3 linked regions of the Saccharomyces cerevisiae S288C genome follow. The protein of the gene in region 2 purifies or fractionates together with the protein of the main gene of each other region. This does not show direct contact. Each region holds a gene or a part of one and is shown on either strand. Other genes may lie near its edges.

Region 1 (2,565 bases), on a different chromosome or scaffold from region 2:
CTTGTCTAAGACCTCTATATCTTGCAATACCTGAGACTTTAAAGAATGGTCTATTTTCAGCAAAAGGCTTCTCCTTTCCAGCGTAGCTTCGTTGCTGAACCCGCCTAACAAAAGGTCCTTGGTACTATCTTCTTTTCTAGTGGGAAGTTGGTTCTCCTCTAAAATGTCGGGATTTTCATTCAAAAACTCAGACATGTGTACTATAAGTGATAACAGGAAATCGTAGAATAATGCAGTAGCAAGATTTTATATTCGACTGGATCTTGAAATACTCGATTTTTTTGCTTGTTAGTCATCACTTATTCGCATTTAAATCTAATTCAATTATTCAAACACCGTACACCCAAGCATTGCGACTGAGAAGAGAGTGGTGGAATATTATAGTTTGATAAATAGAAAAATCTGTAGACTCAAATGGATCTCTTTATAAACAATAGTTGACATTATAGAAGTACGGATAAAATATATAACGTATATTATCGTTTCCGTCATTAATTAATCTATCCACCTTTCCTACCATCGTCTTGTTCTAGCTGCTCCCAGCTTCTTTCCACTATTCTTTGAATTAATGTAATGGATTGGTTACTTCCCTCATGTAGCACTTTGATATCTTCGACCTTGTATGGAGGTTGCACCTTAACGTCATCAAGAATAATGATGTCTTTAGCCACCCACTTAGTATCTCCTATGGTCTTGAAGATTTGATCGAAAATGAACTGACCCTCTGCACTCACACCCTTGCCCCTTAAGAGTTCTTTCTTTTTAGATGCTATTACACTTTCTTTCAAAAGCTTCTCAACTCTTTCCACGTTGACATATGAGGGTTTGATTTGTTGCTTTTTGAATGAGTTAAACGAGGGCTTATCACCAATGACTTCCAAATGCTTGATGAATGTACATTTTATCACCTTGAAGTTTTGTGGAGATTGATTCTTCTTTGTTGTTTGGATAGTAAGAGTGTTGTTGGATGAATTGAACGAATACAATCTTCCTTCAGTAACTACATCCAACACGTTCGTAACTTTTATTCTGAATCCGAGCGTTTGCTCAAGGCTGACACTCATGGACGAAAGATGCAAATTGATTTCTTTAGTTACAAGCTTAGATAACCGCTATTTACAAGCCTGGCTCAGAGTGTTTCCTTACCGTAATAAATATCCACCATTATATTCATGGTATAAGGTTTGATCGTTTTGTTTCCGCTAATATCATTCGCGCGACAAACTACGGAAATTTGCAAACTACCGTTTTTGCCATTTTCTAAGTATCTTCACAGTCGCTTTTGAAAAAAAAGACAGGGAAATTGATTCCACATCTTATTATATTACATGTCAAATTATATACAATTAATAGTTGTATTCAAAAGTTATCCCAATATTTCGCGGGCTTCTTTTAACGCTTCCATTGGAAATCCGGCCAATTCCGCAACTCTAATGGCATCTGATTTCGTGCAGATGCCCGGCTTCAACTTATGGTTGTAACAAAAATTGTTTCCACCTAAATCAGTGATTCCGCTTTGGTAAAACTTGACCTTTTCGCTCATTCCTTTCGAACATTTGTTATCAATGATTTGCTTCAGTTCTTGACCAAAATGTGTAGCAAAAAGCGTTCTGCATTGATTGTTCTCTAACAAATACTTTAAAGTTGCATAAGCGATGCTAATGCCTTCTTTACCACTAGTCCCACGGCCAATCTCATCTAGAATAGCTAAAGACCGTTCCGTAGCTCCTTGCAAGATGAACGATGTTTCTATCATCTCAACCATGAACGTACTCATCTCATTGTACAGATCATCTGCTGAACCAACTCGGCTAAAAAGCTTATCTACAATACCCACACGCGCCTTACTGCATGGAACAAAACATCCAATTTGCGCCAGAATGACTATAATTGCATTCTGTCTTAAGAATGTAGATTTACCACCCATATTCGGTCCGGTAATTACCCATAAATTGTCCTTCGCCAATTCGCAGTTATTGGCCGTGAATGTCTCCAAAGAGCGCGCGGAAAGACCCTCTTCAACCATTAGATGTCTCCCATTCACTACTTCTAGTTTATTGCTCTCATCCACTTTTGGGCAGACTAAATTTCTCTCGTTAGCTAACACAGCAAAGGACGATAAGGTATCAAGATAGCCCAGTGTAGTTGCAACTTGTCTGACCTCGTTACTTCTATCAATAAATTTCCTTTTAAAAAGATCAATAATATTAGCCTCTTCATTCCTAATCTTTAAATTTAATAATTCCAACTCGTGCCCCAAGTCTGTCCAAATTTTGTGACTCAACCATCGTGTTTGGCTTGATTTTTGCAAAATATGGAAGCAACTTCCGTGGTACTCCGTCGATTTACTAATTAACTCATCAATTTTCTTTAAACTAGAGGCTGTTCCTGTCACATGGAGGGCATACTCACCGTTTTGCCTTTCCTTCAAGGTGAAAGTCTTAGCACCTAGGTCGCCAACAAAAAAACCTTTTAATAAAGCATTGTACTCAGTTTTTTTTTGCCAAACGCCCTGATAAGTGTCATGCAATTTCCTAAGTTTGGTATTGAACGAAGGGTTTACGA
Region 2 (6,781 bases):
TAAATCAAACTGCTTATCTCATTTGCGCAATCAAGTATTCATCACGCTAAGTGCTAATGAAATCTACGACATCTACTTCTCTGAAAGAAACAACTACTCGAAGGATGATTCAATCATCATATATACTGTATTCGATACTCCCATCACAGCGCAGCACGTATTCCGAAACTGGTCAAGTGGGAACCTCATACCCACGGTCAAGGATATTTCGCCCTTGATCCCGCTACATTACTACTCTGATTTTAATTTGGAGACGGAACTGAATGACGATATTGCAAGACTGGTCTCTAATGAACCTATCCTACTCGACTAGCTTGCACATATGTATGCCTGTTTTTCTTTATCCTATGGAACACTATATTTTCCGGGGCTTTCTTACAAAACGGAAGAAAAAGAAAAGGAAACTCAGCAAGTACTATGTACAAGAATATATATATATGTATATTGTATATATACATCAACTTCTATACTTCGAGGGAAAACATTAACAAGAGAACAAGTACAAGCCACGTGGTATACGTATCAGAATAATGCTACGTATGTCAACTTCAAGATTCATTGGGCAAAGGCTGTTCACTACGGCACGATCTCTCCAGGCTGCTAAACCGGCACCAAAAGGTAAAACTCAAGGATTTTCCAAAAAATCATCTTCAGTCTCATCTTACTCATCTGCAAAGAGAGTTACTCCTGGTTCATTGTATAAAAACTGGACAAACACCACGCACACCGCTCAATTACAACAGACCGCCGTTCCTTTGGCATTACCTATCTTCAACTTTGATGATATTTCCAAGACTTTGAATAAAGTAGTATCATATTCCAACAAACAGTACAAATCCCTTCACCATTTGGGTTCCTTCAAGAAGTCGCAGTTCAATGAACTTTTTCAAAAACCGGTTTGTCTAGTTCGTGAAGATGCAACGAATAGCTTTTTGAAGAAACTAGTATCTCATCCTGTTAAAAAATTTATAATCACTGGAGAGCCAGGGGTCGGGAAAACTGTACTACTCTCTCAAGCGCATGCATATGCAGTTGATTCCAAGCAAATCATTATTAACATATCATATCCTGAATTATTCCTGAACGGTAGGAATGACTTTTCTTATGATGATGATTTAAAGCTTTTCATCCAACCGATGTATTTGAAAAAGCTTATAAGGAAAATATTGAAGGCAAATGACCCTGCATTGTTAAAATCTATTGAGCTATCCAAAGACTACAAGTTCTCGAATGCAAACCCAAAGAATGCCTCTGTAAAACCATTTGTCACATTAAACAAAACGAAAAATACAGTTTTAGATTTGTTATCCGTAATGACCCACCCGCATAATCGTGGAAAACTAATGAAAGCCATTATTGATGAGTTATCTGTCCAATCCAAGGTGCCAATCATGTTTACAGTGGATAATTTTTCAAAAGTGTTAACTACTGCATATTCTGCGTACAGAAATACAGAGAATAAACAAATATATTCCCTGGATTTACAAATGGGTAAATTGATGATGGACATTATTTCAGGAGAGACGAAATTTGCTAATGGTGAGAGTTCTACTATATTAGCTATATCCGGCGTTGACAGGACAAACAAAACTTTACCCGTGGCATTGGGCAAGATCCCAGTAGACCCCTATGTTACTAGATATCACTATGAACCGAAGTTCGTAGAATTGCTCCAAAAAGGTAATGTCACCGAATTCGAGGTTCCTAAACTGAACAAACAGGAAGTTAACGAACTAATCGATTACTACAAACAATCAAATGTTTTATTAGACAAGGATATCACAGGAAAAAAGTGGGAGAACTTGATTGACGAAAAATATTTCCTAAGTGGTAACGGTAACCCAAGAGAATTATTGAAAAGTTTAGTCCTTTCCCATAGGTGATAAGCATGCGCATATATATACATGTATATGCGTATATAACACTTTCACCCTCGCTTCTCAAAATTCTCCCATTTCTCATGTACATATAAATAGATAACTAACTGAATTAATTTAGCAAAAGCAATTGCTTTTGCTTTTCTATCTTATTCATACACAAAATTCTTACACCGATATATGTCGATACGAACACTTCTTAGCCTAATCCGACCAATCATCCTCGTCTACATATTTTGGCTCCTTATCATTACTTGGGGGCTGTGAATGGACTGGCTTAGAGGTAGATAATGTCGCATTTTGACTTTGAGACGGTAGTGGTCTCCCACTACCACCAGCCATATTTGCTCTTCTCTCGTCCCAGCACCTTTTAATATCACCAACAATTTCCTCGAGGTCCTCCAATGAAACTGAATCGTTGATACTCTCCAAAACTTTCTGGACCACCGATGTATGATTACCATTTAACTTATCATCCCTGAATCTTAACATTTCCCACGCCCCAGTCTCTTGGTTTTTTGCGCACTCTACTATTCTACCATTTAATGGCTGTTCTAGGTTCTTCAAATTTTGCCATTCCTCATCTGAAACGCTCAACTCTGCAAATTTTCTGTATGTTCTTTCTAATATTTCAAATTCCTTCCTATCGAAAGGCTGGTCGAAATGTTTTAAACGTGAATTGACATCAGCTCCGCCTTGCCAGACATATAAGCTGAAAACTGGCTTAACGTCATAATTGTAATACCACCTGTTCCGATCATCTTTAGGCAAAGAAGGATCCTCCACCATTGGGATATCTAAAATCAATTTGAAGTCCACGGTGTTTTCTTGTTCTGGCTTCCATTTTAATAACAATGAATCTTTTCCGCCGGCAGTGTAAGGTGCCTTCACAGGAGTAAATATCAGACCATCAGAAAGATGTGGTAGTTTATCTAAACTTTTAGCAACTTTTACTAATTGGTAACTGAAATCCATATGTTTCATGGAAATTTTGAACGGAAAAGTAGTACAACGATTAGGGTACGCTGCTCTTAAATCGAAGTATGGTTTAAAAAATTCTTTTCCAAGGTGGGCTAGTCTAGAACTTGTTGGTGATTGTGTGAGACATCTACCATTGATAGCAAGACAATCGAACATTAAATAACGCAACTCTTGTAATTTTGTCATTGGGTTAGTTTGTATGACAAGTTCACCATCTAATAAGGTGCCATCTTGAAGAGTCTCTAGCAGCTCTTCTTTCTTCTTTTGGGGTAATCTGGGAAACCTAAATCCATTAACCAGATAATAGTTATTTTCCCTATCAATCATAAAGCATCCTTGCTCACCCGTCACAGGATTTATCACTATAAACATCAACACCCGCAGACCATCTGTTTTCTCACAAACGTAGTAATCATGCGCAAGCAGCTTCTCTTCCACATCAGAATGCTGAAAGGACACAGGCTGGGAACCAGGGAATGTTTTCGTAGGTTTTGGGGAATTCAATAATTTACAGACCATCATCTTCAAGTCTTGCGTGACATTCCCAGGTTGAATGAGCCCAGGAATTTCCGGTGCCACTCTACTTTCCATTGCTAAAACCATATTTGTTAAATTAGCGGTCGATTCGTATTTGCTTATTCCGTTAGTTAGCTTTAGTTTAGATATAACAGATCGTATTCCACCATTTCTTTCGTTATTTTCTGCAATGAACTATTTATTATACTAGGTTACGCTTCGGAGCGACTGACCCGAACATCATGGAGAACTATATATATTTTATGATATTGCTTTCAAAAGGACTAAAAATAAAATGCCATCGAACTATCTGGTGGCAAAATTGGCCTATCGGGACATATTGAGATCATCTGCCTTTCAGCTGGTCACGCTATGCCTAAAGAAGAAGATTTCCAATTACCTAGAAGAAGAGAGGCTGCTAAAAACGTGAATTATAATGAAATGGAAATAGATACTAAATTAGTTCAACAAATACAAATAGCGGAAAAAAGTGGTGCTAAGACCAAGGGTAGCAATAGCCAAACTCCCAGGAATTGTAAAAGGACAAGCAATCCAGCTAGTAGAAACGAGAAATTCAAGTACCAAAAATTCCTTCATGATAAGAATACTTGCTGGAACTTTATCCCTACATTACCCCCTTCGTTCAGAAAGAATAGCAGATTCTCTAACATACTTGATCTAGATGATGCCATGATTGACTTGAAAAAGATGTCTCTTTTCAATACAGAATCTGTCCTTTTATCTGCGAACGACACTATTTATATGATATCAGAGCCTGCTGGCGAGCCTTATTATGTTGGCAGAGTTGTAAATTTTGTTAGTAAACCAGAATTTTCTAACACTATTCATGAAGCTATAAAGACAACATCGGTCTTCCCTGCTAAATTTTTTCAAGTTAGAATGAATTGGTTTTATCGTCCTAGGGATATTCAAGAGCACGTAAATACTTTTAACCCAAGGTTGGTGTATGCATCATTACACCAGGACATATGTCCTATTTCATCATACAGGGGAAAATGTAGTATATTTCATAAAGACGAAGTTTTTGATGTTCTTCCTAATGAGAAGGAATGCATTATACGACCCAATATCTTTTACTTTGATGAACTTTTTGACAGATATACTTTGAAATATTACAAAGTTTACAGCACGGATAAAATATTAAATAAATGGAACAGTAAGTCGCCATTTCTTTATGTTTTGAATAGGAGATTTCGTTATATCTATACAGAACCGAAGTATCCATTGGAGAACGTTTTGAAGAAATACGTTTTCCATGAACTAGAGGTAAACGAATTAAGTCCTGCAGACTACCAATGGGATAAAAGATGTCAGTTCTGTAAAGAATGGTGTATCCAAAAGGAGAGCCTTTCATGTGATGAATGCGGCGTTTGTGCACATCTATACTGTATGGATCCGCCACTTGACAGGAAGCCGAACAAAGACGTCGTTTGGACCTGCTTCAGTTGCTTACAGAAACAACAAGGTACTAAGGACTCGCATGTTAGGTTTCTAGAAGAACAAGCACTGGAACTGGATTTTATTCGCTCTGTAAGACAAAAAATTGAAGAAATTTCTAGCAAAGCTATCAAAGAGAATGTTGGTTATAATACCGAAAATTGCTGGTTTCAATACTTAGGAATATATTCCATTTCTCATATTGGTGACGCATTAAATGATTCTATGTTTTTTCCATATCCTTTCAAACCCTCTAGGGTAGGAGTGAAGTATCAATGGAACGGATGTAATCATAATGTGCCCTGGAGGCGGAACTCGTATATAAGTGCAAATTCAGAAGAAGAGCGAGGCTCAACGAAAACTTCGGAACTAGCATGGGTACTTGATGCATCAAAAATTACTACTCGAAAATTGAGTGAATATATTGAACAATGCAAAAGCGAAATATGCCCTATTCTCAATGTGAGAGGTGAGACTTGTAATTTCATTGATGTAGTCCTAAAGAATTTATTATTTACAAATTATGATACAGCAGAGGCATTTAAAAAATGTAAAAGGGAGCTTTCCAGAAAATTTTTGAAAGAGCCAAGTTTTACCGCCGTGGAGATCCGAAAGTTTGAGGAAGCTGTCGAGAAATTTGGGAGTGAATTACGCCCAGTGTGTGAGTATGTGGGCACTCAACCTATGTCGATGATTGTTAGATTTTATTACAATTGGAAAAAGACTGAAAGAGGCCTTACCGTGAGAGGGAAATTGAGTAAGTTATCAAAGAATAAAAGAAAAAAAGAAATCGCTAATCATGAAAATGACGTAGAGACAAAGTATATAGATGATTCTTCTTTTGATACTGAGAAACTCTCTTTAGCAGAATCCTCCTTCCAATGCATGTTTTGTAAAACAGATTACTCCCCGATGTGGTATAGAGTTACTGGAGGTTCAGATGATGAAAAGATCAAGATAAGAATGCAGACAGGAGTCAACGAAAAAACAGAAATTTCAGAGAAATCGCCTGCCCATAGCAAAAAGAATGAAAAACTTGGCGCTCTTTGCATTCGTTGTGCTCGTATGTGGCGAAGATACGCAATTAAGTGGGTACCACCGCTTGAAACATTGAGAAAAATAACGGGAACCTGTCAGAATAGTTTTTATTCAGCGATAGAAGGGATTATAGAGGAGAATAACACAAACAAGTTTACGTTATCTCCCTTTCAAGCTCATAATAAACTACTAGAATGGGAACTTGTTCAGGATTCAGAGCTAATTATCAGGCAAAGAATGAAAGTTTACAAGAACCCAAATTCATTTGTGAAAATGAAGCGGTATTCCATGACATTCCACACGCAACTCTACAAAATGGCTGTGAGATCATATCGAAAGAATGAGTTTCACCCGGAGACGATGCAACGAGATCTTGAGCTATTTATAGAGGACAACAAAGAGGTAAGAAAAGCCATCCCTGAACAAAAGCCAGAAAGAGCGAAAAACACAAAGGACGAATTTCCCGTGAACATAATTCGACAATCACCTGGTACTATCAAAACAAGTGATACAAGCCGAAATCGCAAGTGCAACGATGTATTTATCGAGAAGGCTAGTAATAACAATATTCCTAAAATCACTAATGCTTCGAATGATTTGATAGAAATTTCAATTAAAACAGGCGGCAGTTCTTCTGGTTCAGTGTCTGTAGATAAAGGTTTTAAATTTGTCAAATTTGATAACAAAACATTTCAGCGATTACGGAATAGCTTAAAGTTAGTGAATAATAAGCTGCCAAAATATAATGAACCTTCAACGAAGAAGATCAAAATGATCAATGACATAGCGTTAAGTAATCCGTTAAACGAACCAAACGGGGCATCGTACAATTATACAGTTATTTCACATTCTAAGGAAACTTCTGTCGCCCTTGAAAAATACCATGATGGTAATAAACCGAGCAAAATGTT
Region 3 (6,121 bases), on a different chromosome or scaffold from region 2:
TCCAAAAGTGATTCCAACTTAGCAACTCCACTTTTGATCTCTTCTCCATAATCTTCCTCGCCGATTTTGCTCTTGGATAGCAGATATTTTTCCATGGCAGCAGTGCACTTGTACATAATTTCATTTACAGCATTAATGATATCATCAACAAGCGAGATGGGCGGATATCCCAAATGCTCTGTCAATATTGAGGTGGATCTCATAGTGGGAGCAGACATGGTTGTTTTGATCGTCTTAACCCAGTTTCAACGTGTTATTACTCAACTTCCTAATAAATGCCAACTTATATTCAATGCCTCTTATTTACCTTTTTTGTTTACGCGTACTATAAAAATTTCCAAGGTTGAAAGACAGCAAGGTGAAAGAAGTAAAATGGCAATGAAAAGTAAGATAGAATTGAAACTAATACACAAAGGTTCACATTTTTATATACAATTACCTATTTAATTCATTAAATTTTGTAGAATGTGATTGGGTTGACAAGTCAGCGTATGCCATGCTCATTCGATGCCGAAAACGACCTTCAGCTTCTTCAATAGCAGCCAATCGGATCTAGCAACTTGGTCCCTAAAAGCTTTATCCTTCAAAGTGTCAATAGATCTTCTTGAAACCAAGGAGTATAATGTATCATTCTCGTCAACATGACGACCCCAGATAGGTTGTTGACCGGAGGGATCTTCTAGACGGACGGCAACACCAGCAGCGGTTTGGCCCTTCTTTACTTCTTGGACAGGTTGATGGTTGATTTCTAAAGAGATGACTTTACCTAATATCAAAGTTTGTCTTTCCTTTGTAGTAGGGTCGGTTTTCACAGCGCAAATAGGAGTTCCCACACGTAGAGTACCTTCCAGAACGTCTACACCAATAATCATTGGACCACGTTTGTTAATAATTTGTAAGGTTTGTAAGACACATGGGAAAATAGCGTAATCTAGGAAATCTTTACGACGTTCTTCCAATAACTTTTCTTGGTATGCTGTAAATGAATCAAATAAATGATAGATGACGTCTGCATTAAAGATCTTAATTCCTTCTTGTTCAGCGTATTGTTCAGCTTCCTTATCCACTTTAACATCAAAACATAACATCACGGCATACTCTGGAGCCTTTTCCAACATAGTGGAGGCTTTCATAACATCACGCTTGTACACTGGACCTAACCCGATAGACATCACAGGGATTTTCATGTCTTTCAAGAAATCCAACAAAGCTTCCAAAGAACCCAAGGTGGATGCTTGGACCACAACACCTTTACCAGTTGTGTCAACGGAGTCCAACAAACCAGTCAAATCATCCATAACGTCGTCCATCAATTCATCTTCGTCATCTTCAGGACCGACAACTAGCAGCCTAGAACCAGAAACGGCTTTTTCTAAATCATTAGCGGCAATCTTGACACCTAAAGCAGCCTTGACTTCTTTGTGGTGGACATATTCAGATTTCAAACGTAGTTCACGTAATGGTTGTGGTGTTAGTAATGCTCTGATATTCGTTACAATTGGACCATTCATACCACACAGTACAATACGGTCACCTTCTCTCAAGTAACCGTTGGACAAGATAACATCAATTGTGGTACCAAAACCTTCTACGACTTTCACTTCCAAAATGGTTGCTTCCACGTGAGACAAGTACATCAATTGTTTGGACATCCTCTTTTGGGTCAATTCTAATAGCAACCACAATAAATCTGGAACACCCTCACCGGTGACGGCAGATGTTGGGACAATGGAGACATACTTAGACATATTTTTGTTTTGGAAATACAATTCCGAATTCAAACCTTGTTCAGCTAATTCCAATTGAATCTTAGAATACCTAGATTGAAATTCCTCTTGAACAGCTCTTGATTGCTTTGCAAAGGAGTCTCTGAATGAATTGTTTGGAATGGCTTTCCAGTCATATAATCTATCAATTTTGTTTAGGGCAACGACAAATGGAGCCTTTCTATCTCTTAACAGTTTGATAGATTCAATAGTCTGTTGTTCCAAACCATGCATAATGTCAATAACCAAAATTGCGATGTTACACAATGAAGAACCTCTTGAACGTAAGTTAGAGAAGGATTCGTGACCTGGGGTATCAATAACCAAAAGACCTGGGACATCAAAAGTTTGTTTTTCATATTCAGCCATAACTTTAGTTTTTGCCTTAATAGCGTCGATGGGGAAATAAGTGGCACCAATCTGTTGGGTGATGCCACCAGCTTCACCACCTTGAACGTTGGTTTGTCTGATTTTGTCTAACAATTTAGTCTTACCGGTATCGACATGACCCAAAATACAACAAATTGGGGAACGAAGATCTTTTTTGTTTGGAGAAGCGCTGGATGGAGTTGGAGTAGCTGCTGGTGTAGCTGCTGGTGTGCTTTTGGCAACTTCATGCACATGTGCTCTTTCTTCTTCTTCTTCTTCTTCTTCTTCTCCTTCTTCTTCTTCTTCGCCTTGATTTTGGTCTTCATTTTCATGGCTTGCGGTGGATTCTTGCGTTTCTTCGTTGGTTCCCTCCTCGTCATCATCACCAAGAGCCAAATTTTCCCAATCATCAATCAAAACATCTTCGGATTCTTTGAGTTCGTCATCAGGTACAACTTCCGAGTCTTTCTTAGAGTCAGATTTAATGGCTTCGGAGGCGTTTTCCTGGGTTGTTCTCTTCTTCTTCTTGCTGTAAACAACCTTCTTTGGTTTGTTTTCTTCTCCATCCTTCTTGGCCAGACCGGCAACTTTGACGTTACCGGAAGACAATAAAGCGGCACGTCTTCTTTCCAATAATTTCTTTTCTTCTTTTTGCTTTCTGGTCAATAGCTTACCTTCAGCCTTTCGTTTTTCACGCTTTGCCTTCTCCTTTTCCTTTTTAGCTGCTTTAGCTTCTTCCTTCATTTTTTCTTCGTTGGCCAATCTTTCCTCCTCTTCTTTCTCCAATCTTTCTTCTTCCTCTCTTTCCAACTTTTCTTGTTCTTCAAGTTGTTTCTTCAATTCTAATTGACGTCTCAAAGCAGCCAAACCGGCAGGTACTTTCTTGGCTGGCTTCTTAGCACTAGCACTTGGTTTATCACTTTCACCTTTAGATTTTTGGGATTTCTCAGCAGCAGCCTTCTCAGCAGCAGCTTTTTCAACATTTTGCTTGTTCAACTCCTTGTTCTTCTCCTTTTGAGCTTGCTGTTGGGCCTTCTTCCTGGCAGCTTGTTCTTTCTTCTTCTGCTTCTCCTTTTCCTTTTTTTCCTTCTCCTTTTCCTTCTTGGACTTTAGTATAGGCTTACCATCCTTCTTCTCTTCAATAACCTTCTTTTCTTGCTTCTTCTTCGATTGCTTCAAAGTAGACATGAAGTCGCCTTCAATGGCCTCAGCACCTTCAGCACTTGCACTTGCTTCTCTGGAAGTGTCATCTGCACCTGCGCTGCTTTCTGGATTTGGAGTTGGCGTGGCACTGATTTCTTCGTTCTGGGCGGCGTCTTCTTCGAATTCCTCATCCCAGTAGTTCTGTTGGTTCTTTTTACTCTTTTTCGCCATCTTTCACTTATCTGATGTTCCTGATTGCCCTTCTTATCCCCTCAAAGTTCACCTTTGCCACTTATTCTAGTGCAAGATCTCTTGCTTTCAATGGGCTTAAAGCTTGAAAAATTTTTTCACATCACAAGCGACGAGGGCCCGTTTTTTTCATCGATGAGCTATAAGAGTTTTCCACTTTTAAGATGGGATATTACGGTGTGATGAGGGCGCAATGATAGGAAGTGTTTGAAGCTAGATGCAGTAGGTGCAAGCGTAGAGTTGTTGATTGAGCAAAATGTCTACTACAGTTGAAAAAATCAAAGCTATCGAAGATGAAATGGCCCGTACCCAAAAGAACAAGGCCACATCTTTCCATTTGGGTCAACTGAAGGCCAAGCTGGCCAAACTGAGAAGAGAATTGTTGACCAGTGCTTCATCCGGCAGCGGTGGTGGTGCTGGTATTGGTTTTGATGTGGCTAGAACTGGTGTGGCCAGTGTGGGGTTTGTCGGGTTCCCGTCGGTGGGGAAATCTACATTACTGTCCAAGTTGACTGGTACTGAGTCTGAAGCAGCTGAGTACGAGTTTACCACCCTGGTTACCGTCCCCGGTGTCATTCGTTATAAAGGTGCCAAGATCCAAATGTTGGATTTACCTGGTATTATCGATGGTGCTAAGGATGGTAGAGGTAGAGGTAAGCAAGTTATTGCCGTGGCAAGAACCTGTAACCTGTTATTTATCATCCTAGATGTGAACAAACCCTTGCATCATAAGCAAATCATTGAGAAGGAACTGGAAGGTGTGGGGATTCGTCTGAATAAAACTCCGCCAGATATCTTGATCAAAAAAAAAGAGAAAGGTGGTATTTCCATCACAAACACAGTCCCATTGACCCATCTGGGGAATGACGAAATCAGAGCCGTTATGAGCGAGTACAGAATAAATAGCGCTGAGATTGCCTTCAGGTGTGATGCCACTGTGGATGATTTGATTGATGTTTTGGAAGCTTCGTCAAGAAGATACATGCCTGCCATCTATGTGTTAAACAAGATTGATTCTCTGTCAATAGAGGAATTGGAATTACTTTACCGAATTCCTAATGCCGTGCCTATTTCGTCTGGTCAAGATTGGAACTTGGACGAGCTGTTGCAAGTCATGTGGGATAGACTAAATCTAGTCCGTATTTACACTAAACCAAAGGGCCAAATACCAGATTTTACCGACCCTGTGGTGCTAAGATCAGACCGTTGCAGTGTCAAGGATTTTTGTAACCAAATTCATAAATCTTTAGTGGACGACTTTAGAAATGCTCTGGTTTACGGTAGCAGTGTCAAACATCAACCTCAATACGTGGGGTTGAGTCACATTTTGGAAGACGAAGATGTTGTTACCATCTTGAAAAAGTGATTCTCGAACAAAAAATAATATAAGAAATGAAAAAAAAAAAAAATAATTCATAATTGAATATACAAGCATTTGTATTCGAAAAGGGGGTATCGGTTATTTTTTTTCGCTGTTTTTCTTCCACCGTTTGAGTATAGAGCATCTATAACATTTAATTATCTCTACATAATGAATAAAAAAAACAGTCGTAATAATTAAAAATGTTATGCTACCGAGGGCTCTTCAAAAGCGACCTCGCTTTGTGGTACCCATAAGCATTCTGTTATCGATCGTAGAGTTTTCTGGTAAATTGACACATCTCCTCTTGACTGAGCTCGTCTGCCTACGTTTTAGAATTTCCTGGGTTTGGCCAAACTCCCACAGTTCTTTATCATTCAGAATATCGAACTCATCGGATGTACTGATGGATATGTTCAGGGTTGCTTTCATATATTGCAAAGAATCCTGGATGGTCACTAGTGGATAGTAGGTCATCACCCTGGAAATAAGAAATTTGAGAAGTGCGCAATCATAGGAATGTGATGATATAACCAAGATATTTCCAAAATGACTAAATGACTTAAAGAGTGCCAACAGATCGTTGAATGCCTGGTACTGTACCAAGGGCTCACCACTGAGGACATTCGAATTACAAAACTGGGGCAGTGATTGGATTGTATCGGTTTGTGCCTGTGTTAAAGATGTTTTTATCTTTTTGCCCATCTGCAAGTACTGTCCAACGAATTTCTGTAGTAGTATTGTATTGTTTCGTATATACAAATCAATTGCGGCCTTCTTTGTTGCTACTGCTGCTGTAGTTGGTGAGCAAAGATTCACGACTACCGAATTAGAGTTCCTGAAATACTGGGTATAAAACGACGCTATCTTTTCAGTACTTAGATTGACACCAATGATGAACTTAATATTTTCATATTGCAAAAGAATAGGTTGTGTCAATATCTCACAGGGTCCAAAATAAACATTGGTATCCAGTTTTTGTAACTTCAGGTCATCTATGGGGCTTGAATCTTCGATTTCCATATCCATAGCAGTGTTATTTCCTTTGCTTTTTGCGTAATTATTGGCACTATGTCACTGATTATATAAGCCACTTCAGTTTTCTTCCCATCTAATTAATTTTTCTTCGAAACACATTCTGTAAATAAGGGATTATGTTATGAAAAGAATACGTACTAGATGGCTAGAAGAATAGGACGGAGTAGCACTTATCGTTTCTGATAAGAGGATCAAT

Evidence for each region.
Region 1: the proteins of CEG1 (region 2) and LSM12 purify together in Saccharomyces cerevisiae (affinity purification with mass spectrometry, with the first as the bait; 2 studies listed by BioGRID). This does not show direct contact.
Region 3: the proteins of CEG1 (region 2) and FUN12 purify together in Saccharomyces cerevisiae (affinity purification with mass spectrometry, with the first as the bait; 2 studies listed by BioGRID). This does not show direct contact.

Annotation. Positions count from the first base shown.
Region 1 is NC_001140.6:351,255-353,819, reverse strand, and holds LSM12 (Lsm12p), read right to left. Parts: upstream 1,065-2,565; coding exon 501-1,064; downstream 1-500. Other genes in the region: iron-sulfur cluster assembly protein CIA2, read right to left, coding at 1-195; mismatch repair ATPase MSH1, read right to left, coding at 1,367-2,565.
Region 2 is NC_001139.9:262,825-269,605, reverse strand, and holds CEG1 (mRNA guanylyltransferase), read right to left. Parts: upstream 3,462-6,781; coding exon 2,082-3,461; downstream 1-2,081. Other genes in the region: U2-type spliceosomal complex subunit CWC23, read left to right, coding at 1-313; mitochondrial 37S ribosomal protein mS29 RSM23, read left to right, coding at 531-1,883; DNA-binding E3 ubiquitin-protein ligase SNT2, read left to right, coding at 3,747-6,781. UniProt on the Saccharomyces cerevisiae protein: Second step of mRNA capping. Transfer of the GMP moiety of GTP to the 5'-diphosphate terminus of RNA via a covalent enzyme-GMP reaction intermediate.
Region 3 is NC_001133.9:73,815-79,935, reverse strand, and holds FUN12 (translation initiation factor eIF5B), read right to left. Parts: upstream 3,510-6,121; coding exon 501-3,509; downstream 1-500. Other genes in the region: MIND complex subunit MTW1, read right to left, coding at 1-218; GTP-binding protein RBG1, read left to right, coding at 3,784-4,893; YAL037W (uncharacterized protein), read right to left, coding at 5,113-5,916. UniProt on the Saccharomyces cerevisiae protein: Plays a role in translation initiation. Translational GTPase that catalyzes the joining of the 40S and 60S subunits to form the 80S initiation complex with the initiator methionine-tRNA in the P-site base paired to the start codon.